4 linked regions of the Saccharomyces cerevisiae S288C genome follow. The gene in region 4 interacts genetically with the main gene of each other region. Each region holds a gene or a part of one and is shown on either strand. Other genes may lie near its edges. The genes, in order: COB, RIM2, MDM38 and MRS2.

Region 1 (11,324 bases), on a different chromosome or scaffold from region 4:
ATATATTAATATATATATTATAATTATATGAAAAAAAAAGATAGATAGATTATAATTCAATATAGTTATATTATATTATTCATTTATTTATATTAATTTAATAAGTATATTATTTTCATTATTAATTAATTTATATTTTATAATATTTTTTTTTTATTATTATTATTTAATTTTTATAAATTAGAGATATATTATTTTTAAGAATATTATTAAAGTATTATTATTATTAATAATTTTATTTTTATTTTTATTATATTATTAATAATAATAATATATATATTATATCTATGTATTAATTTAATTATATATTATTTATTAACTCTACCGATATAGAATAAAACATTTTCAATAGTAGAGATAACAGGTACAATAATTAAGAAATAAGCGAAGTAGATAAATGTAGCGATTTGTCCCATTAAGACATAAGGTACTTCTACATGGCATGCTCCAATTTGTCCTAATAATACGAAATTGAATACAAAGATAAAGAAGAAGAATTTAGATAATACTTTAAAAGTATTACCTCTTACTACACTTCTATCAGTAAATGGTAAAACTAATAATACTAAAATAGCTGCAAACATTAGAATAACTCCTAATAATTTATCAGGAATAGATCTTAAAATAGCATAGAATGGTAATAAGTATCATTCAGGTACACAATTTATATATGTTAACATAAGATTATTTAATATCTTATCTCAATAATTTTCATTATTGTTCAGACTATGTCATTAATTTATAATAAAAGATTAAAACTTTTGATATTTTATAATATATATATATATATTTTTTATTTTATATATAATATATATTACTCCTTCCGGGGTTCCGGCTCCCGTGGCCGGGGCCCGGAACTATATAAAAAAAATTAATAATCTATTCTTTATTTAAAAATAATTTATAAATTAATTGGTTTTCGTGGAAAGGTATTACTATCTCAGTTCACTTTCTAGTCGTTGAACGTTTTTATATCTTATATTATATTAATATTATTATTATTATTATATATATATATTAATATATAATATAGAGATGATATAAACTTCGCTGCAAGTTGTCATAGTATTATTTATTTATTAATACCTTAGATTTTCTTGACAATTAACCAATTTTAATCATTAAACTCCTTATGGGAGTTCCCACAAAGCGGAAACTTAAGAATATTTAATGCTACTGTACTTTTTATTATTATTTATTATTAATTAATTAATTTATTTATTATAATTTTTCATATATTTAATATAATATATTAAATATAAATTATAAAGGAATATATATAAATAACCCCGAAAGGAGAAATAAATAATATATTTTTATTAATAATTATTATTTATTTTTTTTATATAAAATAAATAAGATTAAATAATAATAATTTTATTAATATTTTTAATATCAATAGATGCTGGTGTTACTAAAGGATTACCAGGAATATAGTTATCAGGATGCTTTTATAATAAATATAAAATGGACTATATCTTCATAAAAATTTATATTACACTATCTTATTTCATAAACTATTATTATTTCTTCAATCATGTTTAATGATCAGAATTTTATTTAATAAGATTGTAAAAATATAATCTACCGATTCATAATAATTTATATTATCTTTAACAATAATTTACAAAGATGTTATATTATTATAAGGAATCTTTAAATATTTTATAAATTAGATAATATAATAATGAATACGGAGAAAATTTAATTATTATTTCATTTTTCATTAAATTTTAATCAAGCTTTATATAAAGCAGTATTATGAGGTGCTTTAAAAGCTAATAAATCATATAAATAATAAAATTTATCAATTAAAAATAAACGTTTACCTTTATTAGATTTAGAAGGACAACTTTTATTATAAAGATAAAAAATATTATGTAATTCTTTATTATTAATAGATCATTTAAAATAACCATTTTTAGCTTTATCAAAATAAATATTACCACCAAATACTTCTCTATAGTATTCAACATCATGTAAATATTTATTTGTAACGCTAATAGTTAATTGAGGTCTAATTTTTAATTTACCGGAATAATAATAATTAATAGTACCATCAGCATCAAAGAACCCTATAAATCAAGCATTATCTTTAGTTAATTTAATAGGTTCTTTAAAATCGATATTTAATAAAATACATACTTTATTAAATTGTACTAATCTTTTACTATTACGAATATTACCATTAACGGCATTAATTAATTTAATTATACCTTCTTTATTTTGTAATCTATATCTAATAGCCTTAACACCTGATCTTAATTTTACAGAACCACCAAATTTATCTTGGATTTGTCTTAACATTTTTTCATCTTTTAATTCTACAAGAATTTCACAAGATGCATATTTATTTTTAGTAATACAAAAATAACCATCTCCGTCAATTAAACCGGCCAATCATTGGTTAAATCTAATATTACTATCTTTATAAATACTATAATGTCTTTTAAGAATAATTTGATTTATTTTTTTTATATTAAAAATATTTAATAAATAATTAAATTTATTTTTTAGTGTGCGTGTAGTCTCTGAAGTATCTACTAATAAATTCTTTTTATTACTCGTTAAGTGAGTATTAGAAGAATTTATATTGGTTACCTGCTGATTATCTTCTTTATAATAATATTTTACTCTATTGGGATTAAATAAATCACTTACAATATTTATTTTATTATATTGCTTTGTTCAATTAAATTTTAATACGAAATTATTTAATTGTTTTGTATTTAAAATATTTTGAATAATAAAATAATATAGAGTTTTATTATAAATTTTTCATTGATATTTAATAAATAAAGATTTCCAGCATACAGCACATAAAATATTAATTACATATGTAATTAATAATAAGGCCATATTTTGACCTAAAGTATTAGGTGAATAGAATACAAATAATGCTAAAATTAACATAAATAAGAAAACAGTTACTAAATCTTTAAAAATAAAGTATGAATGCATTGGAATTCTATCTAAATTACCTGTAATACCTAATGGATTAGATGAACCATGAATATGTAATGCCATTAAATGCATAATAACCATTGCAGCAATGATAAAAGGTACTAAATAATGTAACGCAAAGAATCTCTGGATTAGAGGGTTAGATACTGAGCTTTTAATGTTTAAATAGTTACATATTTGAAAACTATTATCAATATATCACTATATTGTTCGGACTATATCTTAATCCTATTTATGTATATATATAATTATATATAAATATTTATAAATGATTATATATTAATCATAATATTTATTTATAAAAAAAAAAGATAAATATTACTTCTAAAGTTTTTATTTCTTATTTATTAATCATAAATTATAATTAATAAAATTATACTTTTTAATTTATAGTTTCGATATCCTAAAATAGAAATAAAAATACCATAAAATGATAAGATTTTAATTATTAATAAAAATTAATAATGAAGGAGAAAATAAATATAATAAAATAATAAATAGTTCAAAGGAATTATTTATTGATAATAATATATTTAATATATAATTAAACTCCTTCGGGGTTCGGTCCCCCTCCCGTTAGAATAGGGAGGGGTCCCTCACTCCTCCGGGGTCCGCCCCGCGGGGCGGGCCGGACTATATTTATAATAAATAATTATATATAAATTATATTTTGTTTATATAATTATATAATATATAAATATATTATTATTATATTTTTATATAAGATTAATATTTAGGAGGAATTTTAAAATAATTATTATATTTAAGAATAAGACGTAAATCTTTTAAGAATAATAAATATTGTAATTTTTTATAACCTAATAATTTAATAGGGTTATTATTAATAAATATTACAACATTTTTAATACCATTAATACTTTTAAGTGTTATTCTTGAATTATTAAATTTATCTGTATAAATATTTTGAGTAATTTTTAAATATGATTTAATAGCTAATATAACTTCTATACTATTATTTTGAGATACTTCAAAACTAGCAAGTTTTATTTTTTTATTTATAGGTTTATAAATACTAAAACAACTTTCAGCTTCAAAAAAACCAATTAATCATGAAGAAAAATAATTTTTATTTAAAATATCTTCAAGAGTATTAAATGGTTTAATAGGACGTAAATAATAAGATAAATCATTATAATATTTAATATCTTTTAATAAATTATCTTTAAAATATAAATAATCATAATGTTTATTAGTTAATATAGGATATTTATCAAAAATAGGAATAATAATATTCTTTAAATGATTTTTATTTCTTACATTAAATTTACATATTTCTTTAATAGTACCATCTTTTATTTTTAATTTTTTAATTGTTACTTTACCAATACCTAAAATATTTTTAATTTTATATAATAATTGAATATCTCTAATATGTATTTCAATACCTAATTCATATAATAAATATTTACCTTTTTTTGAAATAGTAATTCAACCATCTCCTTCAAATAAACCACCAATATATGCATAAATAGGATTATCTGTGTTTAATTTATGATTTTTATCATAAATAATAGTATTATTTATATAATAACTATAAAGTCTCTGAATAATTAATTTTATATATATATATATATTAATTACTGCTAATTTTCTTCTTATAATAAATATTTTAACTATATTATTTTTATTTCAAATTATATTATTATAAATAATTAATTGAATAATATAGTAATTTATTATTCAAATGAAGATATTTCAGCATAAAACAGATTTATTTAATATTATATTACTATAATATGGATCCTCTATATTAAACCCACCTCATAATCAAGATACAATATCGTTACCTACAAATGGAATTGCTGAGAATAAATTAGTAATAACTAGTGCCAAGAAAATAATATTATTTATAAATTATTATTATTTTTTAATAATAATAATCTCAATATTTATTGATTTATTAATATAAATAATACCCTGTATTTAATAATATCTACCCTTTTTATAATTCCATTTAATCACTATTTTCTCTTATGAATAAATATTTATACCTAATAATACCATAATATAAATATTATATATAAATGTTATATATAAATGTTATATATAAATGTTATGATGGGGTTATTATTATAAAAATATTAATCATAATAATTATAATTCATTATTTATATATTAATTAGGTAAATGGAATAATAACAGTAGTTATATATATAATATATATATATAGATTATTAAACCTTGTGTTATAATAATAATATTATAAATTTTCTTCGAATAAACATTAAATATTATTATTTTTTTTATAATAATACCTATTATTGGTGTATTCTGTTGGGATCATATAATTATATAACCCACTGTCTTGTTACTTAATAATATAATTTTGACATGTTTTCAATAATATCGCATTATAATAATATAATAATTAATATAATACTATATATTTTATTATAAATAATTACCTAATTTATATTTTATACTAGGAATAATATAAGGAGATACAATTTTAGTTAAAATAGGTATAGATTCTTTTCATACATAAATAACAAATTGTGTATTTTCTTTATTGCCTTTAAGAATAGTAGATTTAATATTATATTTATTATGTAATAAATAAAGTAAATATTGAACATCTTTATAACTAAAACAATTAGTTGTGAATTTTAAACCTTTACCTAATTTACATCCATCATCTATAATTCAAATAGCTAAAGCTAAAGGAGTTAAATAATTGTCTAAAGATTTAGGAATAACTTTAATATTACCTTTTCCAGATATATTTTTAATATACCATTCTGAATAAATCATATTAAATGAATCATAAGTTCATGTATTAAATTTTAAATATTGTCTAATTTTACCTTTTTTACCTAATCTAGTTTTAATTAAAGGTAAATTAGTATTACAATAACCTAAATTAGCTAATAAACTATGTAAATAATATAAATAATTAATATTACAATATTCTTGTTGAAATACAATTCTTGTTCCTTTACCACCTTTTCTTTTTTCAGCATGACCATCTCCTAATATTGAACCATAAATAATTGATAAAATGTTTATATTTAATGGACCAATATTATTATTTATATCTTTCTTATTTGTTATATTTAAATTAATTATATATTTATTTTTATTAATATAATCTATACTCTTAATTAATATAAGATATTCTTTAGTTTTTATTATTTGTCTTATTATAATCGTATAAAAAATATAAATTAATAATATTAACATTATTATATAAATTAGTTTTATTATATTAAATATATTTGAGGCGATATTTATATTACCTCAATGTGACAATTGTGATAGGTAGATCTTTACAAATTTTCCCCCACTCAGAACTGTACGTACTACTTTCATAGTATACAGCTCAAACAATTTATATACTATATAAATCATCCTATATTGAAGTTAGCATGCTTTCACATTAATCATTTATTCGTTATTATTATTAATTAATTAATTAATTAATTAATAATAATATTAACCATTATTAATATATTTTTATTAAAATATATAAATAATTTGATCTATATTATACATTACATATAATCTTTAGCTTTTTCAATAGTCTTTTACCCACTTATCTATATTATAATTTCTATTATTATTTATTTAATAATATTATATATAACTACCATATAATATTTATATTAATATTATATGGAAATAATTGGGCTTACCAAGTTTATATTATTATACTTTCAATAATTCACTTAGGATTCTAATTTTATACCGATGAGTATTAACGTATATATATGTATTCTAGACAGAATTGAATATCTTACTTCTCATATAATTATTTTTATTTATTATTATTTATTAATTAATAATAGAAAAAAATATTGTTTATGTTACGATATTTTATAATATTAGATTGACTTACGCTATCCATATGAATCTTACCTTAATAATTAATAATAATTATTATTATTAGAGTTTCATACAAAATTATTACTAATAATGCATGTCTAATTAGGTATATGTTATATATAAACATAATCATTTCATTAAAATAATTTATTTAATGGTATGATATTATAATAATATACTTATACTTGTCTCACTCTGTCCATAAACACAACAATAACCTAAAAAAGCTGTAGCAATAGTTAAAATGAAAATAATAACACCTACATTTCATAATAGTACTCTTGGTGATCTATATGAACCATAATATAAACCTTTAGCCATATGCATAAACATTACCATAAAAAAGAATGATGCACCATTTGCATGTAAATATCTTAAAATATAACCATTATGCACATCTCTTATAATATGTTCAACAGATGAAAAAGCTAATTCAATATTAGATGAATAATGCATAGCCATAAAAATACCTGTTACAATTTGAATAACTAAACATAAACCTAATAATGAACCCATATTTCATCAATAATTAATTGATGATGGTTGTGGTGAATCAATAATATAACTATTCACTAAACTTAAATACACATTTGATTTTCTAAATGCCATATTATTATTATTTATTTATAAAATATTAATAATATTATTTATTACTAATATTTTATATATATTAATTAATAAAAAATATATAAATATATATTATTAATTAATACTTATTATATATATATATATTTATAATTATATATATAATTATATTATAATATTAAAAACTATTTTTTTATTATATATACATATTTTATTATATATAAATTATAATTATTAAAAAAAAAAGATATTTCTCATTTTTTTTTCATTAATATAATCCATTAAAAAAAAAAGTTAATAGATTTTATTAATATTATTATTATTATTTATTAAATATAAACCTCGCGGGCGCCAATCCGGTCAACTACTGGGTTGGTCATTGGTCCCGTGGATAATATTAATTATATTATATCATTATTAATTTTTTTAATAAAAAGTTAATAATATAATATAATATTTAAAAATATTTATTTAATAATAAATAAATAAATAAATAAATAAATAAATAAATAAATAAATAATATTGACGATTATATTAATATTAATGATATCATTATTATTTAATAATAATTAATATTATGAAAGATTTTTATATTAATATTATATAAATATAATATTAATAATTTTTATATTATTTATTAATATTGTTATTATTATTATTATATTAACAATAATTTATTGTTAATATGTTATTTATATTATTATTAATTTATATTCTCCTTTCGGGGTTCCGGCTCCCGTGACCGGGCCCCGGAACTATAAAAAAAAATAAAATAAATTATATTATTATATATTATATTAAAAAAAAAAATTAAATATATAATAATTATAGAATTAATTAATAACAATTATTATTATTATTATTATACATAAATATTATTTATATAATTTATTATAATATTTATTTAAAAATATTATAATGAAAAATATATTATATATTTTATTATAGTATAATAACAATCGGTATTTATTATTATGAATATATTATTTGTATTAAAAAAAAATATATATATATATATAATTGTATTATATAAAATGTATATTATTAATAATTATTAATTAATATAAAGAATATGTTTAATTATATATACTTTTTTTACAAATATTTATTATTATGAATAACCTTAATCGGAATCGAACCGATATTATCAACATGAAGAGGTGATGTCGTAACCATTAGACGATAAGGTCTATATTTATTAATAATATATATATATATAATTATTATTATTATTAATAAATTATAAAAATAAAATTATTATTATTATTATTAAGTTTATTATTACTATTTATTAACCTAATTAAAATTAAATTAAATAAAATAAAATAAAATAAAATAAAATAAAATAAAATAAAATAAAATAAAATAAAATAAAACTTCTTCTTTAAATAAAAAAGGGGTTCGGTTCCCACGGGGTCCCGCACTCCTTCTTAAATAGGGGTTCGGTCCCCCAAAGGGATCTATCACTCCTTCCTAAAAATAATTAAATATTTTTAATATATATATATATATACATATATATATTAATTTTATTAATTCATTTAAAATTTATATTTATTAATATAATTTATATATTTATCTTATTCCTCCTTTCGGGGTTCCGGCTCCCGTGGCCGGGCCCCGGAACTATTAATATATAAATTGAATTATAATTATTTTATATTATTTTTATATATTACTTATATAATATTTCTTATAATTATATTAAGATTATATATATAAATAGGTTATTATATATTATTATATATATATACTTATTAATTAAATATATTTATATTTTATATTAATGAAGTAAATATTTTATTTAATATATATATATATATATAAATTTATTTATTATAAATTATATTCTTTTTATATTTATATTTATTATTAATTAATTAATTAATTAATTAATTAATTAATTAATTAATTAAATTATTATAATTGTTATTATAAATTATAATTATTATTATTATTTTATTTTTAATAAAATTATTATAATATTAAAAAAGGGAGATAAATAATATTTATATAATCTCCTTTTGGGATTCCGGTCTTTGGCCTGGTATCCAAAACTTATATATTATATTAATCCCCAAATAAGATATTAATATATATAAACAATTCCTTCTTTAAATATTAAATATTAAATAAAAAAGGGGGTTCGATCCCACGGACTATTTATTCTTGTTAATTATATTTTTAATATTATATTAATAAGTTATATTTTATTATATATTATATTATTATTTCTCCTTTCGGGGTTCCGGCTCCCGTGGCCGGGCCCCGGAACTATTATAATTATATATATATTATTAATTTTTATTTATACTCCTTCGGGGTTCGGTCCCCCTCCCATTAGTATAGGGAGGGGTCCCTCACTCCTTCGGGGTCCCCGCCGGGGCGGGGACTTATATTTATATATTTATATTTATATTTATATATTATATTTGTATTTATATTATATTTATATATTTATATATTTATATTTGTATTTATATTTATATTTATATTTATATTTATATAATAGGTGGGGGTCCCTATAATTATTGAAAATAATTATTATTTATAGGACCCCAGATATCTATCATTTATAAATTATTATAATATTTATTAAATTTATGATATATTTTATATTTAATATGTTTTTATATTTATTCATATTATTTATATTATTTACCCTATTTTTATATTATTATTAATATTTATAATAACAATTATTATATTATTAATAAATACTATATAAGTATTAAAATAAATATCTCCTGCGGGGTTCGGTTCCCCCCCGTAAGGGGGGGGGGTCCCTCACTCCTTTCTATAAAAAGTAAATTTAATATATTTTTTATATATATAATATATTAATCATATAAATTATAAATTATATATATATATTTATATATATATATATATATATTATAATAATCATAATATTTTTATTTTATATTTTATATTTTATATATGTATTACGAGAGGGATAATTATTTTATTATATTTATATACAATAGGATTAAACATTGCCAGTGAACAACGGGTAATGTTTGATCCGTATCATATTATATTATATTATATTATATTATATTATATAATTAATAGTTCCGGGGCCCGGCACGGGAACCGGAACCCCGAAAGGAGGAGAAGATAATATTATTACTATTTTTCTTTATAAAAATAAAATAAAATAAAATAAAATAGTCCGGTAGAAAGAGATATTATAACTTTATTAAATATATTAAATATATAATAATTATTATTCCATTTAAAATTACAATTTTCGTTTCAATTATAATACTTTTTAATTATATTATAATATATAATTATTTATAATAATAGTACGCTCCGAAGGAGTGAGGGACCCCCCCCTTACGGGGGGGAACCGAACCCCGCAGGAGATATTTATTAATAATGAAATTATATTAATATATTATTATTATTATATAAAATATTAATTAGTTCCGGAACCCAAAAAGGGGACCGGAACCCCGAAGAGGAGTAAACATCTTTATTTATTATTTATAAAGGTGTGAACCCCACCGGAACCCCAAAAGGAGTTATTATTATTTATTTCCTTCTTTATTAAATTATAAATTGTAAGATTATATATTATTATATATTATATTTAATATTTATTATTTATATATAATAATTTATTATATTATATTATATTATATTTATATATGATATTTTTATTATTATAAAAAAAAAGAAATATAAATATTAATATTAATGAGAATCTAAATATTTACTTATTTATTTATTTATTTATTTATTATTATAAATATGAATTTTAAATTTATTATTTATTAAAATACTTTCAATATTTTTAATATATTATTTATTTTATTTTATTTTATATATAATATATTATTTATATATTTTATATATTATTATTATTAATAAATTTTTATAAGAAATTAATATCTCCTTACTCTTTCGGAGTTATTATAAAAAT
Region 2 (6,197 bases), on a different chromosome or scaffold from region 4:
AATTGGGCGCGCACTACGTTTAGAAACGAATATGGAAAGCACGATTTCAAAAATGAAGAATCCCTAAGCGAAGAACACGCTTCACTTCTAGTACGAGATAGCAAACCTTCGAAACCTTTCAATGTGGATGATGTTCTAAAGTTCACCTTCACAGGGGAAAAGCCCATTATTACGGGATCTACTTCAACATCATCTAGTAATTGAATTTTACTTCACGCTACTGATATTTTAAAACATTTTATTGTTACTAGTGACCTGGTAAAAATATTTACAAGTATAAAAGGACCAATTTACTGAATGAAGTAAATAAGGATCATTGATATGTTACGATAAATAATGCAAAGTAAAGGAGAAGAAACGAAGGGGTCCAAACCTTAGTAGGTTAGCTTTCTATAAACTTTGACAGGCTTTATATCCTTACAAAATGCACTTTTTTCATACTTTTTTGTTAGAGTATGTCTTGGCCCTAAAGTGAATTTAGAGTTTTTTAGATTTCAAGGCTACGATAGTAGCCTTATAACAATTTCCCATGTACCAAACATAATTATACTGTTCGGAACTGTTCTCATCAAATGCGGGGTCAACCCACTATACATTGAAAAGAGTCCCTCTTCTTTAATTATAACTTTGAAACTTTGTACTAAACCTGTATACTTTCGTTTACCATTTTCCTTGGGCGTTTGTCTCAATCTCGTCCTGACAACTTCGTGCGGATATGTTGCTATACTAGCCACAAATTTTGCAAGACCAGCGCTTCCTGATCTTTGACACCACTCCTTGACTTTCTCTGATGTGCTTTTTGTACCTTCGGCTTGATATCCAAATTTCTCAATAGACCTTTCCTTTATTAACCTCTTCATTTGTTCATATAATAGCCATTGAAGTATACCTTCAACAGAACCCAAATAAGAGGCACTCAACCCTTTGTACAAGCCAGTGAAACCCTCATTTCTTATAACACTTTTTAAGCAATCCCAAGAGTTCTTGTACTGTCGGACCGATGTTTTCCCAGCTTTATCAAGCTGTACTCTTGTTTTAATCAACCAAATAGGATTGGTTGCCGTCGCCGTTGCCCAACCTGCGGTTGCAGCAGCCATCAGATGAATCATAGGTGTTTCTTGGCCATTATTGAACGCTTTAGCATACATATCTTTAGTAGTTCCATAGGTAAAAAAATTAATACTTCTTGCTGGAATAACCCCGACTAAATTGGGGCCCAAACCCTTAAACAAGCTTCTAAAACCCTCTTGTTTGTACACATTGCCTATGATTCCCAGTGTTTCCTTGAAATGGGTTCCTGCTTGAATGACATAATTAATACTCTTTGGACGAGTAGATCCTTTACTGATATTAACAGCTTGTGATTTGTATGCTTTCAAAAATATATCACTTTGTAATCGGGTCTTCACCAAATCAAAGGGACACGTAACAACTGCACCCGCCATTCCTCCAATACCCCCAGCAACAAAATGAACCCATGGTTTTACTGTTGGATGATTTTCAATTTCAGATTGCTTCAAATTTAGTGGAATTTGTGTAGCTTCCTTATAATTAGAGCCCTTTTCATCACTTGCTAAATATGGAACTGATTCAATGGCATCCTCTTCCCATTCTTCAATGGATTTTTTAGGCATCTTTATCTCCTTGAAAAATTATGGGATATGAGAATGGTCAACTATGTAAGTAAGTAGGTGACTTTGACACAATAAATATAGGACCACGTAAAGACAAAATCGTCCGATTTTTTTACCTCAGTTAGCAGTACTTCAAAGAACAGTTTCTATAGAGAACAAGGCTACCCCTTTATACAAAGTTGAATTCTCTATGTGAAGTTAGACTTTTACCATTATTCTTTTTAATTTTACTTCTTGGATTTTGGCGTAAGGTTAATTTTTCACTAAGAGAGAGCCCGAAGCGAGGATTCAAAAGAGATGCTCAACGCAAGTAATATCTGGATGACATGAAGTGACTGTGTTGAGTAGTCTATATAGGTCAGAATAAAGAACCAAAAGAAATAATCTAAATGTACAAATTATGGATATTAGACACAATTTATTTTTTATTATATTATATATTTAAAAATAGACAAAAAATAAAACCTAAAACCTGAAAATCTTTTTCGATACAAAACCAGCATCGGGTAAATTAGATGAAAGTTTCGTATGGAACTGGGGCCAAAGTTTGAGGAACGTTACCTTCAGTAGAAACGATACGGGATTCTCTTGGTTGAGCTGGTTGTCTCTTCAATTGAACAGCAACACCTTGAGCCTTAGCTTCAGCACGCTTAGCAGCATTGGCCTTAACTCTTTCCAAAAATTCTTGTCTACACTTGGAGTGCTTGATGTGTTCAACTCTTAAGTTTAATCTTTTTTCTAGATATCTGTTACCGACCATCTTGTTGATGATAACACCAACAGAAGACTTAGTAACGTTGTAGACAACACCGGTCTTACCTTGGTAAAACTTGTGTGGCATACCCTTTTGGATAGAACCATTGGCTTTGATGTCGACAATGTCACCAACCTTGTAGACCTTCAAGTAAGTAGAAAGATGGACGGCACCATGCTTTCTGAAGTCACGTTGGAACATGTAACGAGTACGAGATCTGTAACCGTGTCTGTATTATAAGGAAATAAATCAAAATTAAGATTTATAAGAAATCATGTTAGTATTCTATTGTTTTGCGAGTTTCTGAGATGCGTCCCAGCACATAACCGAATGTTTGGAAAAAGGGCTTGTAATTACTACACTTCTAATGTTGAACTAATTTTCAAAGCAACGACTGTAAACTAATGACTTACAGCCCGTTAAAAGCCTATCATGTCACGTAATTTTCTCAGAATCAGTGTAGCATCATCTTATCTGCCCAATATTTTGCTCTAATGATATGTTTGCTTTATTCACACTAGACACGTCTTTAAATCTTTTTATTTCTGTGACGATATGTTCGGTTTGAGATACCATGATTCGTTCGTGCTGTAGATTCATAGGATTAAATGACATACGATTTACCCATTGTTGCTAGTTATTTTTGTCTTGGTTCTCTTATTCCAAAGTTCAATCGGTAATGCCTGAAATTGCACACTACTTTCTATATTATCTTTACCAGACATGACACTCCATTGGTGATAAAATTTCACAGAGGCGCAGAGACCGTTTACCTTTCCAGCTCTCGTATTGTGGCCCCCACCGCTGCCTGGGCTTCCAGCACGGCCACTAGTAGCGGTGGGCCAACACATCAAAGGAGGTTTGGCAGCGGTGCTTTTCCTCGGTTCTGAGCATGTTCTAGCGGCTGGGAAAAAGGCGATATTCAAACTCATCCTTGCCTCCAGTAAAAAAGGGTGTGGTGATGGTGAAGATGTACAGGTGTAAAACTGTCAGACTAACAAGTATAATATTGCGATTTATATTATCGAGATATATTGAGGTCAAGAGATATATACCAAAGTGAATGCAAGATGGCATGGAGAATTAGCCTTTAAATATTAACGGCTTCAATTTCTGACAATAAGGATTTCTCCAAGCCAAGGTGTAAAATCCTAAACGCTACTGAGTTGCAGTTGGGAATTTAAATCCGATCAAAATCTTCTAGCTATTTACGTTGGGTATTGAGTAATACTTGTGTCATCCAATGCCATGTCATCTTGCAAGAAAAGCGCCAGTTATGTACCTCTACCCATTTTCAAATGAAATAAAAATGACAAAGTAAAATGAAAAATGATCCGTGATTTGAAAAGTTATAAAATTTATTATACAGTTATGAAATCAGCGAATTATTTATTCTTCGTCTTCGGCTTCTTCAGCAGCTTCACCGGAAGCTTCAGCCTTTCTAGCAGCGTTTCTTCTAGCAACTCTACCTGGTCTAGCACCACCGAATGGAGAAGTTGGAGCGAAGTCAATGTGCTTTTCAGAGTCCAATCTGACCATGAAAGATGGGATGTTGACGATTTGCTTACCAACAGCAATGTGTCTTTGAGTGATTAAAACTCTGGCGTGGTGGACAGACTTGGCCAAACCCAACTTGTAGACTTGAGTTTGCAATCTTCTTTCCAAGAAATCTTCAACCTTCAAAGCCAAAACATAATCCAACTTCTTCTTGTCTTCGGACAAGACACCAACTCTAACCAATCTTCTGATCAAGGCATTACCTTCGAACAATCTCTTTGGGTCCTTTTCGTCTCTAGTTAACAAGTCTCTGGCAGCACGACGAATTTTAGACAATTGGAAAGAAATTCTGTAAATTTCTCTCTTGTTCTTCAAACCGAATTCACCGGCCAACTTCAATTCTGCGTCCAAACGAGAAGATTCGTAAGGTCTCTTTGGTGTAGAGTAAGTCTTAGAGTAAGTTCTTGGAGCTCCTAAAAAAAAAAAAGTAAAATTGGATTCTTGTTAGTCAAAAGTTTTCCCGGAACAAAAGTCTGCAAGGGCCCAAGTAAGTGCTCATAAATATTGTAGAGATATGATTAAAAACGCATAATTAGGTATCCGCCTTGGAAAATAAAATACTGTCCCATTGTTACGAGAGAGATGTTCCCTATTAGATCACCTTGATCTCTAATGTATCCCTGTTTAACTGAAGTGTCGGGAGTTCAGTGTAAATAAAGATATTCATAATATGGATAGTAATTCAGGCTGTTGTCGTGCTACTCAATGAAGGTATACTATTATGGAATTTCATATTCTCAAATATTTATGAGGACCCGAACCTCTTTCAAAATCAACGAGTCAGAGTGAAGAATTTCCCTCCTCTTCGATATAGTCTAATACGTACTTGGCATTGTTGCTTAGTCTTAGTTGTCTTGTTGCTTTCTTTCTTGTCTATGCAAATGAACAATTTTATTAAGTAAACTTCATGAAATTTATGCATAATGCTTAATGGGATTGAATGTTAAGCTACATGAGTGAAGCGCGTCCACCTGAAGCCGCCAACTTTATGATTTTTTCAAGTAACCTTTGTTTTGCGAATATGAAAAATGTACAGATGTGTAAATGTACGGATTAAATCGTCGCAGCGGGGAACACCGCTTTCTGAAATTGAAAGTTTCCATACTAGAAGGTCAAGATGCTGTCAATTAGGCTAGGAATGATACAGAAAAGCTGGCTAGCCGTTCCTTCAAAGCCTTCCATTACATCTACTTTTTTACGACTTACTTGTTGCGACTACTTTTTACAACCAGTATGCCCTCTCTGCGAGATTTATCACTAGAAAGGGACCAAGAATTAAATCAGTTACGTGCCCGTATCAACCAGCTGGGCAAAACAGGCAAAGAAGAAGCCAATGATTTTGTTGGTTTAAATATTTCAAATGAACCTGTATATGACACGGTGATTCAAACAGGACAGAGCTCTAACGCAACGAATAGTTTTGTACAAGAAACTATTCAGAAGACGAAACAAAAAGAGAGTGGTCAGCCATATATTATCCCCCAAAAAAACGAACATCAGCGTTACATCGATAAGGTTTGCGAAACCAGCGATCTCAAAGCCAAATTAGCGCCTATTATGGAAGTGCTCGAGAAGAAAACGAATGAAAAAATTAAGGGAATAATAAGGAAAAGGGTATTACAGGAACCCGACCGTGACAATGATGATAGCGGCTGATCGGATAATTACAACCAATTGCGTGCGCAAGACTTCATTGGGTTGGCTGGGAAAGAAAAGCGATGAACTTAGCAAAAAAAAAAGCTACATCAAATAAATATCAGCCGTACACTAGTTACGTATGTCTATAAATATTCTTTTCAAGATTCACACTTAAATATGAAGAGAAAAAAGAGAGAATCCAAGAAGAATACGGTTACAAACCATCTCAATCCTGAGTTGTGAATGCTTGATATATATACATCAAGGCGAAAATGAAGAATAACAACGAGCTAGCAAGAGTGATTGTTCTTATGCTAATTCTTGTTGCCAATAATTTCCCACCCACCACTGCTAATCCAGAGCAAATGGCATGACCAATAACAGCACCTGCAATAACATACCAATAGTCGCTGTCAGTAGCCATGGCAATAATACTAATTTGTGAACGGTCACCTAGCTCGCCTAGGAAAACCATCAGGAAAATTTGAACCCAAACTGGGGAAAACATAAATGATGCTAATTCGCGAATCCTGTGCACTATTTTTTTACCAATCGAAGCGTTCTTCAGCTGTTTATCATACGCAGTGTCGCCTCCTTTTTCAACATCATCCATA
Region 3 (7,538 bases), 670 kb from region 4:
AGAACTTTATAACTTGGTTTTATGAGTTTTCACCCCCGTTCTTTACCACATTGTTTCTAATTATTCCGTTAGCGCCGCTTACTTTTAATGTTCTTAAGATAAAAAAACATCATTAATATTATTATTAAAAAATTCATATATATACCTATATCTATATGCACTATTTATGCTTCCACTTTTCTTTTCTTTCTAAATACATCATTCCAAGACGTTTTTGTCCATCTTATGTAATGCATCCTTGATGCTTTGCAATTCTACTTTCTGTCCACGAACGTGCAATCCAGATGCAATGTTCTCTAACGCTGATGAGATCGAAGTTGAATCCTCAGGATTTAGTTGTTCTTGGATACTTTTATTTTTTTGCATATGTTGACGGATTTTTTGATATGTGTAACTGATCGGCAGATACCTCTTTGCATCGGAAGCCGCATTCATTTGTGCATTCTTGCAGGAACATATTTCGGGTAGCTTGATTGAATTGTAATTTACGTCAGTTTGTTGTTCATTTAGATCCGGTGACAACGCACTGTTGGAAGAGAAAGAGCTTGAACTACATTTATTCGAAAGTGATTGACAAAAATTCCTACTATGGGGGTCTGATCTACATTGCTTGCAGCTTCCAGGTATCCATGACCCATCCTCTTTAGTGATCGGTCTATTCTCGCTATCGTAGATTTCTTTGTCTCCACAGCATTTCGATATTGATTTCTTAGCATCGGATTCTATTTTCTTTTCTGAACAGCAAACGGGGACTAAGGATGGCATTATGTTATTCTTTTGGTTGCAACATGTTACTGGTTTCATGGCATCTTTATTCCTACAACATTTTATTTTTTTGTTGCCACTGCCTGCACATGCATTGATACTGCTGCTGCATGAAGACAGAGGTGAATTAATATGGCCATCAAGCGATGAATTCGTTGAACTAAACTGTCTGCCGCTCAGATATTGATAATCGTTGGCTATATCAATCTCAGACAAAGACTGGTCTGTTAATACCGCGGGCACATGAGATGTTAACAATGGGCCTTCAGCTTTCCTTTTTTTAAACTGACAGCGCCGATTGGTTTAAAGTTTTCTACCATTTCTAATATCGAAATAGGATTGTCTGGCGGGTTTTCTGGCTGCTGTTGAAATGGAGTATTAACAATCAAAGGCAAGGCTTTTTGCAATTCGTTGTTTAATGCTATTGATTTTTGCAAGTTTTCCTTTGTATCGGAAAACTCAGATTCCAGCAGTTTATATTTCCTTTGCCAATCATCGACCAAATTGTGTAGCATCTCAACCTTCTCTTCCAGAACCTGGATTCTTGTTGTTCTGCGTTCCCTATATGCTCTTTGCGCATCTCTATTTTGCCTCCTTCGCTTTTCCACGCTATCGACACCGTTTTCATCACCACTTCCGTTGCCTTCATCATCAGATTTCCCCTCATGACCTTTTGCGCCTTCGTTCTCATGATCTTTTGTGGTCATTTGGTCTTTCTGGTTGGAAGTTTGAACCTTCTTTATCTTGGACGATCCATCATTATTAGCTGATGCATCCCCGCGCTTGGATTTCGGTTTGCGGCCCGGTTTTAGGCGCTGTGGTAACTCCCAATTCTTGGATAACTTAATAGCTGACGGTCCTGATGTACTCACATTTCCATCTGGTGAGGATGGAGGTGGAGACGTCGTAGACATGGAACCCTGTTTATGCCCCAATTTGAAGCCTTTGGGCTTTACGCTAACTGCTACTACAGACCTTCGTTGTCTCATGATCCATTGAAAGTGTGCGTAAATGACAAAATTTTGTGCCTTTCTATATTCTTTAATTGATGATTTACTTCCTTGATAACGGCTCAACAAACGAAGAGCAATTTTCAAATTTCAAAAGAAAAAACCGTTGAAACTGTTCTTGAGCAACTTTCAAGCCTCTTATGATGATGTGCTACAGATTGAAGTACAGGTGAAAAGAGGAATAACCAATAGCCTTGTTTGCTTTCTACGGTGGGGCAGCGGATTTTCTCTTTTATGCTTATGCTTCTTCTTCCATATATTACTAATTTTTCTCGAGCGAGCAGCTTTACTGCGTGCATTACCGATGAAAAAAATCGCCGATATATGAAAATCCAGCTCATAAGATGCTGATTAAGGAGTCATGAGTGAAAGGACCCTCGTGGCCATCACAAAAAAGACACTTTGCTCCTGTATAAAAAAAAAAATAAGGCGGTAGTTTAGATAGGGTGTCTATTATATACATGCATAATAATTTAGTTTTGAAGGGTCGCTGGTTTTGCCGTGACGTACGCTTCTCTTTGATCTTTTGCCATTGTTGTCAGAGAAAAGAGAACCGATTGACTTTTTTTTTTTAGTTTTTTTTAGTTTTTTTCTTAGGCTTTGATCTAATATCAATCTTTCTTAATGACAAAAGTCTTCGCAGCTTGATCGGCCGGAATGGGAGGTACAGATTTTGCTTCTTCCTCTTCATCTAGGTTGATATCATCTGGCACATGCTCTCTCGAAGCTCTTTGCTTAGCTTCCTCTTCCTCCTTCTTTATTAGTTCTTCTTGCTCCTTCAAAACGTTCAATTTGAACTCGTTATCGTCGGATGTCTTCTTTTCTTCAGCTTCCGTGGCTTCCGCAGAGTCGGTAGGCTCTGCGTTCTCTTTTTCCTGAGATATTTCCTCTGTCTTCGCTGTTTCTGCCTTTTCATTAACTACGACTAGTTTAGGAGTAACCGCAGAAGCGGTGGTAGCTATAACAGACTCTTTTGCGGTGGCTTCTTCCTTCGGTATAGCAGTTTCCTCGGGTTTTTCTTCCGTCTTTATCTTCTTTTCAGCAACTTGCTTTTCAGCTTCAGTTTCAGCAGCGGATGATTTCGATTCAGATACATCTAGTTTTGCGACGTTGTAAACGGGATCTGGAATGGAACTTAGCACTTGTAATATACCGTCGTAGTACAGATCCAAAAGGTCGTCATATTTGCTTTTTGTTTCTTTTTTTTCAGCTAGTGGCGAGAATGCCTTTGAATAGTTCTCCTTTGGAAGTCCTCCAAACGTGAACGTGGAACTCAAAACCATCAAGACGGATGGGATTTTTTGTCTCAGTCTCAATTCTAGCCAAACTTTTAGATTATCGACCAAGTCCTCCTTGGATACACCGTACGCTTTCATACCACGAGACACACAAGCTTGATACAGCTCTTCTTGCGATAAACTTTCAACGCCTTCGTAGTCAATAGTTTTATCGTCGTTCATTATATCCTTTAGTTTGGAACGAATTTGGTAACGAAGCATGTTATCGTTACCAAATGGCCTTAGTGACATAAACTTCGACATTGCTGCCAATTGTGGTCTTGACAAGTTATCCAAAACGCTATCGTTTTTGAACATTTGCGCAATGGCGCTTATTTCATCGTGTTGGAAAGTCATAATCTTACCTTCCTTGGCAGAATAAAGCTTCCGGAAAAAATTCAAAAATTTTTGCTTCTTCTCTGCATTTTCAATGGTGTTGTAAGTGATCAAATTGGATTCTTCCAAAGTCTCATGCAAGAATTCGGATGTCTTTTTTCTGATCTCGATGAGCTTATTTCTCTTGGCTTGCTTATCCTTGCCGGATTCGTAAGTGGAGGGTAGTAAGTTGGGGAAGAGTTTCAAAGCGAAAGGCAAAAATAGTTCGGCGAATGGAATAATAAGGAACGCTGAAAAAGGGATCAACCTAAACACATCGCCCATTGTCCTCCTCAATTGGTTCCTCTCTCTTCTAGACAACTCGTAACCCTGAGCAAATTTAATCAAAAGCTTAGTAGAAACTTTGATTTCGTAACCCAAAAGTTTCGTCCCATTAGCATAATGTTTCAAGGCGTGCTTCACTTTGACCATAAGCGTCTCCTTGGGCTTGGCAGGAGCATCGGTGGATGTTGGAGCTACGGGCTTCGTAACACTTTTCGACTTATCAGTAGAATAAAATCTCAAAGATAAAGGATAGTTGGGCTGTACTCCTTGCGCTCTCAAAGGCCAATGACACGAGGGAATAGTGGAAGCTATTAATCTAGGGCCTTGATTTTTAACAAAATACAAGCTTGCTTGACGTCTTGTCACACATGACGCTCTTGATGCGAAATTCAACATCTTAGTATATTATCTGTAGTGATAGAGATAGCGTATATTATGCGCTGCCTGAAATGCACTGCGCTGTTCATATTCATCACCGTGGCAATGACTGATCCATTTATTTGGAGATGATTCAACGAATAATTTTTCACCGCGGGATTATCGCCCAAGACGGGGTCGTTTGAGGGTAATACCGTGGCTAGCTTTATGGCTTGTGAAACTATTGCCAGTTATGTGGTTACGTATAATCTACCGTATGTGTGTGTGTATTTATTTATGTAGGTTGCTAATGCTTTGGTGATCGTTTAAAGGAACTTGGACGCAACCCTCCCACGGGTGCCAGGGCTTGAAATCTCTTTCAATGCTGCTATTTTGCGCGACTCTGGGTACACCTTATACCCCTTGTTTCTATGGTTAAACCAATTGAATCTCCAGCAGAGCTCGTGAGCAAATAGCTCGCCGAAGCCGAGCATCATGCCGTTGAGGAAGGGCAAAAGTAGGTTGATGGAGCACGAGCCTACAAAGGATACAAGGCTCTGCACAAGTGGGCTCTCGTCGGCACTCACTGTGTTCTGCACCTCCATACAGTCTTTGTCTTCTGATTCGTCATCTGACACGCTCTCCCAGAATCCCACAACCTCTGTCATATTTCTGTCTTGTGGCAGTTTCGTAAGAAGGGGGGTGATGTTTCTAATATTACAGTGATGTTCTATTGTTCAAGTAAAGTGTATGGCTGTTTCTTATGGCGCGGAATATACCACTTCGTTATAAGTGATTACATCTCGTAACGCATTCCTCTTGTTCAGTGGTAGGGGAGGCCGATGGTAGTGGAATAATACGCTTTTATGGGCCATTGGTATTACTATTTATCTTCGTTATAATAAATAGTACACGTTGCAGACATATTTGGAGGAGAGTTTTTAAAGTACTGTTGGGGTGCTCTTGCTGTGCATTGTAAGTAATCGTGTCCCAGTGGCCGAGTGGTTAAGGCGATGCCCTGCTATTTCCTCAGAAAAGCAATTAGGCATTGGGTTTTACCTGCGCAGGTTCGAATCCTGTCTGTGACGCATTTCTTTTTTGTGAATTCTTGCTTCTTATCCTTCTACAATCCTTTCGTGACATTTATTGAATCATCTCTACAAAATTTTTACACATAGCTAAGGTTAGCTTGTTCTACATTACACAAGTGGTAGCAAAATCGTTTACATTGCACTCAGCTATATCAACATCACGTTCTACCGCAACTAGTAATGAGCTTGCACATTAGTAAACTGATTGAGCAATATCGTTCCACTAAGGACAATGACCTTAAATATATGCTTTTAAGGCAAAACTTTAAAATTAACGACATAGAGGATGAGCTGGCTCCTCTTGTTAACGAATTGCTGCTCCCGGTATTGGTCGAAGAACAAGACATGGAAATTCTCAACCTAGTATCGTTTCAAGTGCTCCCCGATTTAGTTCTTTCTATGATCAGCGACCCTGCAGCTGCTCAGTTGGGATGGGTAATAAGCTTGATATGCGACCCTTTATTAAACCAAAGCATGATACATGCAAATCGTTCTTTTGTTCTGATTGAGACACTAAGAAATGTGTTACAAAAAATTGAAAACTCCCCTCATTTAGATTACCACCAACCAGTAAACAGTTCATTAGAGTTTATCTCCAAATTTATTGTTGAAATGAAAAGGCATATGTGTGATGTGGATGCTGCGCAGCTTTCACATTCACTTTCTGAAAGCAATATGCTAATTTACATAGAATCCCTTAATCTATTGCTAAAATTTAGCTTCTTTTCAGACGCGGCAAGTCCTTCAGTAATGGTCACACTGCCCTTTGATATTTTGAATGACGTTTTTACAATTGCGCAGGACTATTCTGCTACGAATACAAATGAAAGCATTGATAGGATCACAGAAAAATTACTTTTGACTTCTACGCAATTAACTCATCCGGTGGACCTGGAAAATTTATGCCCCAAAATGAAGTACAATACTTTAGCAGCAGTTTCTCGAATATGGTACAAATTTGGCCCCATAGTCGATAAATTATTTACTAACCGGCTATTACCGGTTCTATTCCCCCCGCAAATGGGAGAAGAATGTAACGTCGAAGATGTTCTCGAAATAGTTCATAACTTCCATCCATATTTTTCTATTCGTAGGCTAAAGGATAATAGGCCTCTATTGTCAGATTCGACTATTAGCCAGCTAAGAGAGGGTTTGTTTGGTATGCTCAGCATATTAAACGACTCGCTGACAAGGACGCAAAATGAAAACGACCATGGTAGCGACAATCTGATCGACAGTGACGACGGATTTGGCTCAGACAACGATCCTGAACAACAAGCGTACCTCGATGAACTCGTATCAGAAGGTTATGACGAAAACATGTATGACGGTGATACGGATGACGAAGACGCAGATGATATAAACGTTGAAAAAAATGATGAAGCCACCAAAGACATTACAGAAACGAACAAAATCCTTTTAATCTTTTCTGAGTTACATTATCCTCAGGAGGAGCGCTTCTCTGAACTGTTGGTTGAGTTGCAGACTAAGATCGCTATAAACACATCCTTAATTGATAAAATTCTTTCAAAAGAGACAACAGAATTACCCACTCACAATGGGGAAATCGCAGATTTGAACGAAATTCTAAATGAAGTGAAAGGCAATAAACCAATTAGAAAAAACGTTATTTTTTGTACGTTAGCGCATACTTTGTCGTTGCAATCCGGTTCCGAATTGTCTGTTCTACAGCTATCAATAGAGGTTATTGATCATCTGCTGGTTAAAAATCATTCAAATAACATCACTCGTGGCGAGCAATTTCAATTGATTAAGTTGATATTACCCCATCTAAAAACAAATAAATCTTTTATTGATACATTAAAAGCAGGAAATTTTACCCAAAAAATTGATGAAGGAGTGACCTTAAGAACAATGATTCTTTCTCTACTACTACAACTATTCCCACTGGATTACTCTATGCTAGGTGAGATTTTACCCACTATTGCGCGATATTCTGTAAGGGATAAGGATCTTGGGGTGAGAGATCTGTCCTTCCAATTGCTGGACCAAATTCTACGCACATACTATAATTACCTAATTGGTATCGATTGGGAATGGTATAAAGATGACTTCTATCAAGTTTTGCAAGAAACTTGTATTAAAAAAGACATAAATACCAACCTCTTGCTACAATTTCCTCCTTATCTCCCTCATGACTAGATAGTTTTATACCAAATACATCATGCATCTTTTTTTTTTCCTTATAGTTTGTGTCATCAACATGTTTTTGCCCGTATTAATACACAATAATCTATCCTCTCAGGCAGGGAGAAGAAAACTAAATATACATAGCACCCTCACACAGGATGTCAAAACTATCGTCTTATCCTCATGCCGCCGATTTTATAAATATGGAAGAACCGCCAAAATCTAAA
Region 4 (7,389 bases):
GAGTGTCGAGGAAAAACGCCTTCGAGTCCCTGAAGTTGTATTCTTCGAGAACCCGTGCCCTATCATACGCAACATTGTGACCAATTATTACTTGCTCTTTATTCAATGTGTTTAGGGGTATCAGTGCAGCAGGATCATCACCACCACATATGAACGGCGAACACCAAAGGTACCACGCCGTCGATGACAAGGCCGTGGCCAAAGTCGGATAGTCAGAGACGTTATAGAGTGTTTCTACATCAAACACCACCAGCTCTTCGTCTGGGTATGCCACTTCGACGGGTGCCATTCCAGGTACGTATTTAACCCAGCCTGGCTTCCGCAGCCATTCCGCCGGTCGTGCCACCATCTCCGTGAACTTGTCCTCGCAAAAACTCTTGTACGGTTCAGAATTGAAACGCCCAATCTTCTGGAAATGCTCATCTAGCGACCTGCCTTGTAGTGGCGGCAGAGGAAACGATATTGGATCCGTGATGAGCGTCTTCTTCCCCCACAACCCATGGTCCTTTAGCGACTTTTTCGATAACTCCATAAGTTTGTCGCTTTGCTCCACCTCATCTTTACCACCGCAACTACCAAATACCTGTCTTTGCAAAGACTCACCTAAATACTGTATCCCCACAGGATTAATCCTGGGTGCTTCTGCGGTATTCTTCTTTGTGGAGAACCATCGAGCACAAAACTGCACACGCAGCGGCCGCCGCCGCACCATTCGCAGCATGCATTCAGATCTAACCATCAATTTCGTCATACTTGTCCCTCGTTGCTCAACAACTACATATAATCCCCATCTCGACCTCTTCTTTAGAACCGTTCTTTCGTAGTCCATACCTATTGTTGTTTACTGAGTATCGGCTAAAAGTGCGCCCGAGGTCACCCGCCACGGAGAGGGGCGAAAGCGGCCATTTCGATAAGAACTCACGCTATATATCAGCAAAGAACAATAGCAGTTGCAAGAAAAGTTGTTTGTAACTGTTTTACAAAAGAGGCACAGAACAGGCCACGCACCATCCGATACAGCATGTCCTCCGCTATTACTGCTTTGACACCAAACCAAGTGAACGATGAATTGAACAAGATGCAAGCTTTCATCAGAAAGGAAGCTGAAGAAAAAGCGAAGGAAATCCAATTGAAGGCTGACCAAGAGTACGAAATCGAGAAGACCAACATCGTAAGAAATGAAACCAACAACATTGACGGCAACTTCAAGAGCAAGTTGAAGAAGGCCATGCTTTCGCAACAGATTACTAAGTCAACGATAGCAAACAAAATGAGGTTGAAGGTTCTTTCTGCTCGTGAACAGTCGCTAGACGGGATATTCGAGGAAACCAAGGAAAAGTTGTCAGGAATTGCCAACAACCGGGACGAGTACAAGCCCATTTTGCAATCATTGATCGTGGAGGCACTTTTGAAGTTGTTGGAACCTAAGGCGATTGTCAAGGCTCTTGAAAGAGACGTCGATTTAATCGAGTCGATGAAGGACGACATTATGCGTGAGTATGGGGAAAAGGCCCAGCGCGCACCATTGGAAGAGATTGTTATCTCCAATGATTACTTGAACAAAGACCTTGTTTCCGGCGGTGTTGTGGTCTCCAATGCATCAGACAAGATTGAAATTAACAACACTTTGGAGGAAAGATTGAAATTGTTAAGTGAAGAGGCATTGCCCGCCATCAGATTGGAATTGTATGGTCCTTCCAAGACAAGAAAGTTCTTTGATTGATCGACCAGCAGCTTGTATACCTACATACTTACATATACACTCCTAACAGATTTTTTTTTGTATGTTGTTCTTTCCTCTGTGGTGGTCCAGTCTTTTGTCTCTTTTTTTTTTTCTTCTTTTTTTTTTTTTTTTTTTTTTTTGCAGCATTATGATAGAACAATAGGGCTCAAGATCGCACCAAGGCTAACAGTAACGGTATACGCAATCGTAGTGAAAGTGATTTTCAATCAAGCATCTCATGAATCGGCGTCTCCTGGTACGTTCTATATCTTGTTTCCAACCTTTGTCGAGAATAACTTTTGGAAGACCAAACACGCCATTTCTTAGAAAGTATGCTGACACATCCACTGCTGCAAACACCAACAGCACCATATTGCGGAAACAGTTACTATCGTTGAAGCCCATTTCTGCCTCTGATTCACTGTTCATTTCGTGTACGGTATTCAATTCTAAGGGAAATATTATCTCAATGTCCGAGAAGTTTCCTAAATGGTCCTTTTTAACTGAACATTCCCTTTTCCCCAGAGACCTGAGGAAAATAGATAACTCCTCTATTGATATTATTCCAACCATCATGTGTAAGCCAAACTGTATTGTCATCAACTTATTGCATATCAAAGCTCTTATCGAACGAGATAAGGTCTACGTCTTCGATACAACAAACCCTTCCGCCGCTGCCAAACTGAGTGTACTTATGTATGACTTGGAGTCTAAGTTGTCCTCCACCAAGAATAACTCTCAATTTTACGAGCATAGAGCCCTCGAGAGTATTTTCATCAACGTAATGAGCGCACTGGAAACAGATTTCAAGCTTCACTCACAAATCTGTATTCAAATCTTAAATGATCTGGAAAACGAGGTCAATAGACTTAAACTGCGGCATCTTTTAATTAAGTCCAAAGATCTTACGCTTTTTTACCAAAAAACTTTATTGATTAGAGATCTATTAGATGAACTATTAGAAAACGACGATGATTTAGCAAACATGTACTTGACAGTTAAGAAGTCTCCTAAGGACAATTTTTCGGACTTGGAAATGCTTATAGAGACGTACTACACCCAATGTGATGAATACGTTCAGCAATCAGAATCTTTGATTCAGGATATCAAATCTACTGAAGAAATTGTCAACATCATATTGGACGCAAATAGAAATTCCTTAATGTTGTTGGAGTTGAAAGTTACCATCTACACGTTGGGATTCACAGTAGCATCTGTTCTGCCGGCATTCTATGGTATGAATTTAAAGAATTTCATCGAGGAGAGTGAATGGGGGTTTACTTCAGTGGCGGTATTTTCTATTGTTTCTGCCCTTTATATCACCAAGAAAAATTTTAATTCTTTAAGATCCGTGACAAAGATGACCATGTATCCAAACTCACCCGCAAACTCCAGTGTGTATCCTAAAACATCAGCGTCTATTGCCCTGACAAATAAACTAAAGCGAAGGCGGAAGTGGTGGAAATCAACCAAGCAGCGGTTGGGAGTGCTACTTTATGGCAGCAGCTACACTAATAAGGCTAACCTGTCGAATAATAAGATTAATAAAGGTTTTTCAAAGGTGAAGAAATTTAACATGGAGAATGATATTAAGAACAAGCAGAACAGAGATATGATTTGGAAATGGTTGATAGAAGACAAGAAAAATTGAAAGGCGATTATCATGATAAACTATACAATATTATTAGCATAAACCTGTATATATACATATGTAAGAAAAAAGGGTATTTAAAACTCTTTTTAACAGCAAATCTTTTGTCCTTGTAAAAACATAAATAATTAAACTAAGACTAATTATACAATGACACTTTTTTATTAAGAGCAAAATAAACAAAAAGAACTCCTATGCATTATTTTTCGTTTTATTTTAACTTCTTAAATGGAAAGCTTCTCCTTGAACAAACTTTCCAAATCATCAACTGCATCCTTTATAGCGGCTGGTTTATCACCCATACCTTGGAAAACATTACCTTTACCACCAGCCTTACCGCCGATGATACTGGACACCTTTTTGGCAAGCGCAGAACCATCAATACCCTTGGCTAAAGCAGCATTGGAGATGTAACAACCGTGAGCAACACGACCTTCAGGGTCATTACCTGCCAATAAATAGATTGACTTGTCTTTGACAGAATCATTGGATTTCATGTAGTTGATCGCTTCAGTGATAGCTTTAGCATTTGGAGAAATATCAATGAATTTAACTAGGTATGGAGCATTCTCATTGGTTTCGAAAAATGTCTTCACTTCATCAAGAGTTTGTTTGTTTTCTTTTTTGGCCCTTGACTTAACTTCATCCTTCACTGCTTTTTCAATTTTGTTAAATTTCTGCTTCAGTTCATTTTTTGTGATAACAGAAATTGAAAGTTGACCAAGTTTGACACCAAGTTCCTTCAACTTCTTTTCTTTGATTGGAGAGAACGGCAGCTTGTCTGCAGCATCCAAATCAGCAGCAAACTGTTCAGCCAATCTTTGAGCTTCAAAGGCTTCAGTTCCAGTAACAGCAACAATTCTTCTGATACCCTTTGCAATACCGCTCTCTTCTAAAATGACGAAGTATTTAATATCGCCTGTCTTGTTGACATGGGTACCACCGCAAAATTCAATAGAATACTTGGTCCACTCTTCGTTAGCTGGGTTGGCCAACAATTCTTCGATTGGCTTACCAACAGAAACTACACGAACTGGATCTGGGTAAGTCTCACCAAAGACAGCACGAACACCATCAATGGATTTGGCCAAGTCCAATGGAATTTCCTTGTAAAACACTTGTAAGTTTTCTTTAATTTGCTCATTACAGATATCTTCAACTTTTTTCAATTCTTCATTTGACACAGCCTTTTTATGAGAGAAATCGAATCTCAATTTTTCTGGGGCAACCAAAGAACCCTTTTGATCGACATCATTACCCAAAGTTTCCTTCAGAGCAAAGTTTAAGATATGTGTACCAGTATGATTGTTCTTAATAGGGAAACGACGTAGTTCATCGAATGAAGCGATAATCTTGTCACCGACAGACAACTTACCTTCTTCTAAAGACCCGGTGTGGAAAACAAAACCGTTATACAATTGAACATTTTCAACATTAAACTCAGCAGCGTCATCAATAACAATTTTACCAGTGTCATATTCTTGACCACCTTGTTCGGCGTAGAAACATGTTTTATCCAAAATAATACCGTACTTCTTACCTGGTTCAGTGATCTCATCAACAAAGTTGGTACCGTCATGCAGTTTCAAAATGGTACCTTCGACGTTGGCGCTGCCGTATTTGAATTCATCATTAGTCTTGGGCACCTTAGCATCGTTCAACTCGGATAATTCATGGACGTTTAACTTAATCAAATCACTTTGGTCCTTCTTACCACCTCTTTTGGATGCTTCGTATGACTCTTGTTTGGCCTTTTCGAAACCGGGTCCATCAATCTTCAAGCCTTGTTCTTCAGCCATCAATTCAGTCAAGTCGACTGGGAAACCATAAGTGTCGTAAAGTCTCCAAACTTGTTTACCGTCTAAAGTCTTAGATTCAGTCTTAGAAGCAGCAGAAGCATATTTTTCAAATAGTCTTTCACCACGATCCAAGGTCTTAGCGAAAGAAGCTTCTTCTTCATCCAAGATTTCAAAGAGGAATGCAGGATCCTTGGCTAATTCGGGAAAGATATCTTGAACCTGAGAAATTAAAGTTGGAGCCAAAGTGGAGAAAAAGTTACCGATTGGGTAATTCATGTATTTACGGGCGTAACGGGCACCTCTTCTTAGAATGCGTCTCAAAACATATCCTCTACCTTCATTGTTTGGAACGCCACCGTCAGCTAAGGCAAAAGTCAATGTACGGACATGATCAGCTAAAACTCTGTAGGCAGTATCGATACCGTCCTTGTCATTCTCACCAAAATTGCCAGAATATGGTCTAACTGAAGTGATTTCTTGGATACGCTCGAACAAAGGTGTGAAAACATCGGTATCATAGTTAGATCTAACATCTTGCAGAACAGAAACCAATCTTTCGAACCCCATACCTGTGTCGATATGCTTGGCAGGTAAAGGCTTCAAAGACCCGTCTTGTTCTCTGTTGAATTGAATGAAAACCAAATTCCAAACTTCCAAGACATCAGGGTCGTCCATATTAACCAAGGAAGCAGCATTTCTACCACCTATTCTATCGTAGTGAATTTCAGAACAAGGACCACATGGGCCTTGGTCACCCATTTCCCAAAAGTTGTCCTTTGCATTACCAGGTAATATATGGTCATCGGGAACACCAACATTTTTCCATAGTTCACGGGCTTCAGTATCAGGTTCCAAGCCTAACTTTTCATCACCTTCAAAATAGGTAACGTATAATCTATCCTTTGGAATGCCGTATACTTCAGTCAACAAAGTCCATGAGTAAGTAATAGCTTCCTTCTTGAAATAGTCGCCAAACGACCAGTTACCCAGCATTTCAAAAAAGGTATGATGATAAGAATCCTTACCGACATCTTCTAAATCGTTGTGTTTACCACCAGCTCTGATACACTTTTGAGAGTTGTAAGCCCTTTTCAAGGTGTAGAAATCGGAAGCTGGATCGACAGTACCTAAAAAGATAGGCTTGTATTGGTTCATACCGGCATTAGCGAAAAGTAAAGTTGGATCATCAAATGGAACTACTGGAGAGGATTTGACAAACTTGTGTTCTTTAGATTTGAAATAGTCTAGAAAGGTATTACGGACATTAGTAGCGGTCCATTTTTGCTTATCACCGATCGTCATTATGGTTCTAGTTGATGTAGTTAATTGCTTCTTGAAAGAAAGAGTCAAGTTCCTTAATCCGGTAGTTGACGTCGTCTTGTCTTAAATAAGAAGATGTTGGAAGCACGCCTTTTTTGTAATTCTATTTAAAAAAAACCGACTTTGTTCAATCAAACTGCTTTCATATCTGATAGCAGTCGCCAACTGCGTTTTTCTTGTTTTACTCATCATCCATCGAGCGGATGAAAAAAAAGAGAAAAAAGAAACGGCCAATCCGTTGATCATGATTAAATAAAATATAGGGTTCTGAATTGTTAGGTTTAATCTGCAAATTATTCAGGTCATCGTTGACTTTTTTGCAGGGCACTAAAAACCGCTAACATAGGACGGTATATTGCTGATTTTAGACTTAACTTCTTGGTGTAGTCGTCTCTGAACATGGCATGATACAGCTTTGGTGGGTCACTAGAACAATTTGAATCTTGCTCAGCACGCTCTGTCTTACGTATATATCCAATTTCAGTTGATTCGAAAGACATGAAAGATTATTAATGTGTGCATTACCCGGATTGTCAATAACTCATATAGTTAGTATACTAATTAACTAACTATATAACGTGGCATATTAAAGATTAATTGTCCTGGTAGAATATAGACGTATCAGTGTGAGTGCCTCTGTTGATTATGAGACTACTTGCGTTGGTATTGTTATTGTTGTGTGCGCCGCTTCGTGCATGGACTTATAGCTTACGATATGGCATACCCGAATCTGCTCAGGTCTGGTCTATTTTAGTTCATTTACTGGGCGATGTTGATAATCAGCTGTTAACTAATTTATATCCTTTGGTTACCGGTTTGGATGACGAGATTGATATTCAAGAAAATCTTGTGGCGCTAACTTCCAATGTATTAAGGGAGCGATACGATAAAGAGGA

What was found.
Region 1: of MRS2 (region 4) and COB, extra expression of one rescues a mutant of the other (dosage rescue), as found in Saccharomyces cerevisiae (one study listed by BioGRID).
Region 2: of MRS2 (region 4) and RIM2, extra expression of one rescues a mutant of the other (dosage rescue), as found in Saccharomyces cerevisiae (one study listed by BioGRID).
Region 3: mutations in MRS2 (region 4) and MDM38 together harm fitness more than expected from each alone (negative genetic interaction), as found in Saccharomyces cerevisiae (2 studies listed by BioGRID).

Annotation. Positions count from the first base shown.
Region 1 is NC_001224.1:32,632-43,955, reverse strand, and holds COB (cytochrome b), read right to left. Parts: upstream 7,417-11,324; coding exon 7,002-7,416; intron 6,234-7,001; coding exon 6,220-6,233; coding exon of another isoform or gene 5,377-6,219; intron 4,816-5,376; coding exon 4,739-4,815; coding exon of another isoform or gene 3,691-4,738; intron 3,116-3,690; coding exon 2,866-3,115; coding exon of another isoform or gene 1,705-2,865; intron 1,449-1,704; coding exon 1,398-1,448; intron 660-1,397; coding exon 309-659; downstream 1-308. Other genes in the region: cytochrome b mRNA maturase bI2, read right to left, coding at 5,377-6,233, 7,002-7,416; cytochrome b mRNA maturase bI3, read right to left, coding at 3,691-4,815, 6,220-6,233, 7,002-7,416; intron-encoded RNA maturase bI4, read right to left, coding at 1,705-3,115, 4,739-4,815, 6,220-6,233, 7,002-7,416. UniProt on the Saccharomyces cerevisiae protein: Component of the ubiquinol-cytochrome c oxidoreductase, a multisubunit transmembrane complex that is part of the mitochondrial electron transport chain which drives oxidative phosphorylation.
Region 2 is NC_001134.8:603,089-609,285, reverse strand, and holds RIM2 (Rim2p), read right to left. Parts: upstream 1,635-6,197; coding exon 501-1,634; downstream 1-500. Other genes in the region: RNA polymerase II mediator complex subunit MED8, read left to right, coding at 1-204; 60S ribosomal protein eL21 RPL21A, read right to left, coding at 2,146-2,617, 3,006-3,016; 40S ribosomal protein uS4 RPS9B, read right to left, coding at 3,778-4,358, 4,772-4,778; NTC20 (Ntc20p), read left to right, coding at 5,179-5,601; putative ribosome biosynthesis protein GDT1, read right to left, coding at 5,810-6,197. UniProt on the Saccharomyces cerevisiae protein: Mitochondrial transporter that imports/exports pyrimidine nucleotides into and from mitochondria. Selectively transports uridine, thymidine, and cytosine (deoxy)nucleoside di- and triphosphates by an antiport mechanism.
Region 3 is NC_001147.6:269,617-277,154, forward strand, and holds MDM38 (ribosome-binding protein MDM38), read right to left. Parts: upstream 4,109-7,538; coding exon 2,387-4,108; downstream 1-2,386. Other genes in the region: GAS5 (1,3-beta-glucanosyltransferase), read left to right, coding at 1-25; YOL029C (uncharacterized protein), read right to left, coding at 199-804; YAP7 (Yap7p), read right to left, coding at 1,017-1,754; MIM1 (Mim1p), read right to left, coding at 4,396-4,737; LAG2 (Lag2p), read left to right, coding at 5,341-7,323; YOL024W (uncharacterized protein), read left to right, coding at 7,470-7,538.
Region 4 is NC_001147.6:942,635-950,023, forward strand, and holds MRS2 (Mrs2p), read left to right. Parts: upstream 1-1,961; coding exon 1,962-3,374; downstream 3,375-7,389. Other genes in the region: DNA-directed DNA polymerase gamma MIP1, read right to left, coding at 1-751; VMA4 (H(+)-transporting V1 sector ATPase subunit E), read left to right, coding at 1,022-1,723; ALA1 (alanine--tRNA ligase), read right to left, coding at 3,599-6,475; KRE5 (Kre5p), read left to right, coding at 7,139-7,389. UniProt on the Saccharomyces cerevisiae protein: High-conductance magnesium-selective channel that mediates the influx of magnesium into the mitochondrial matrix.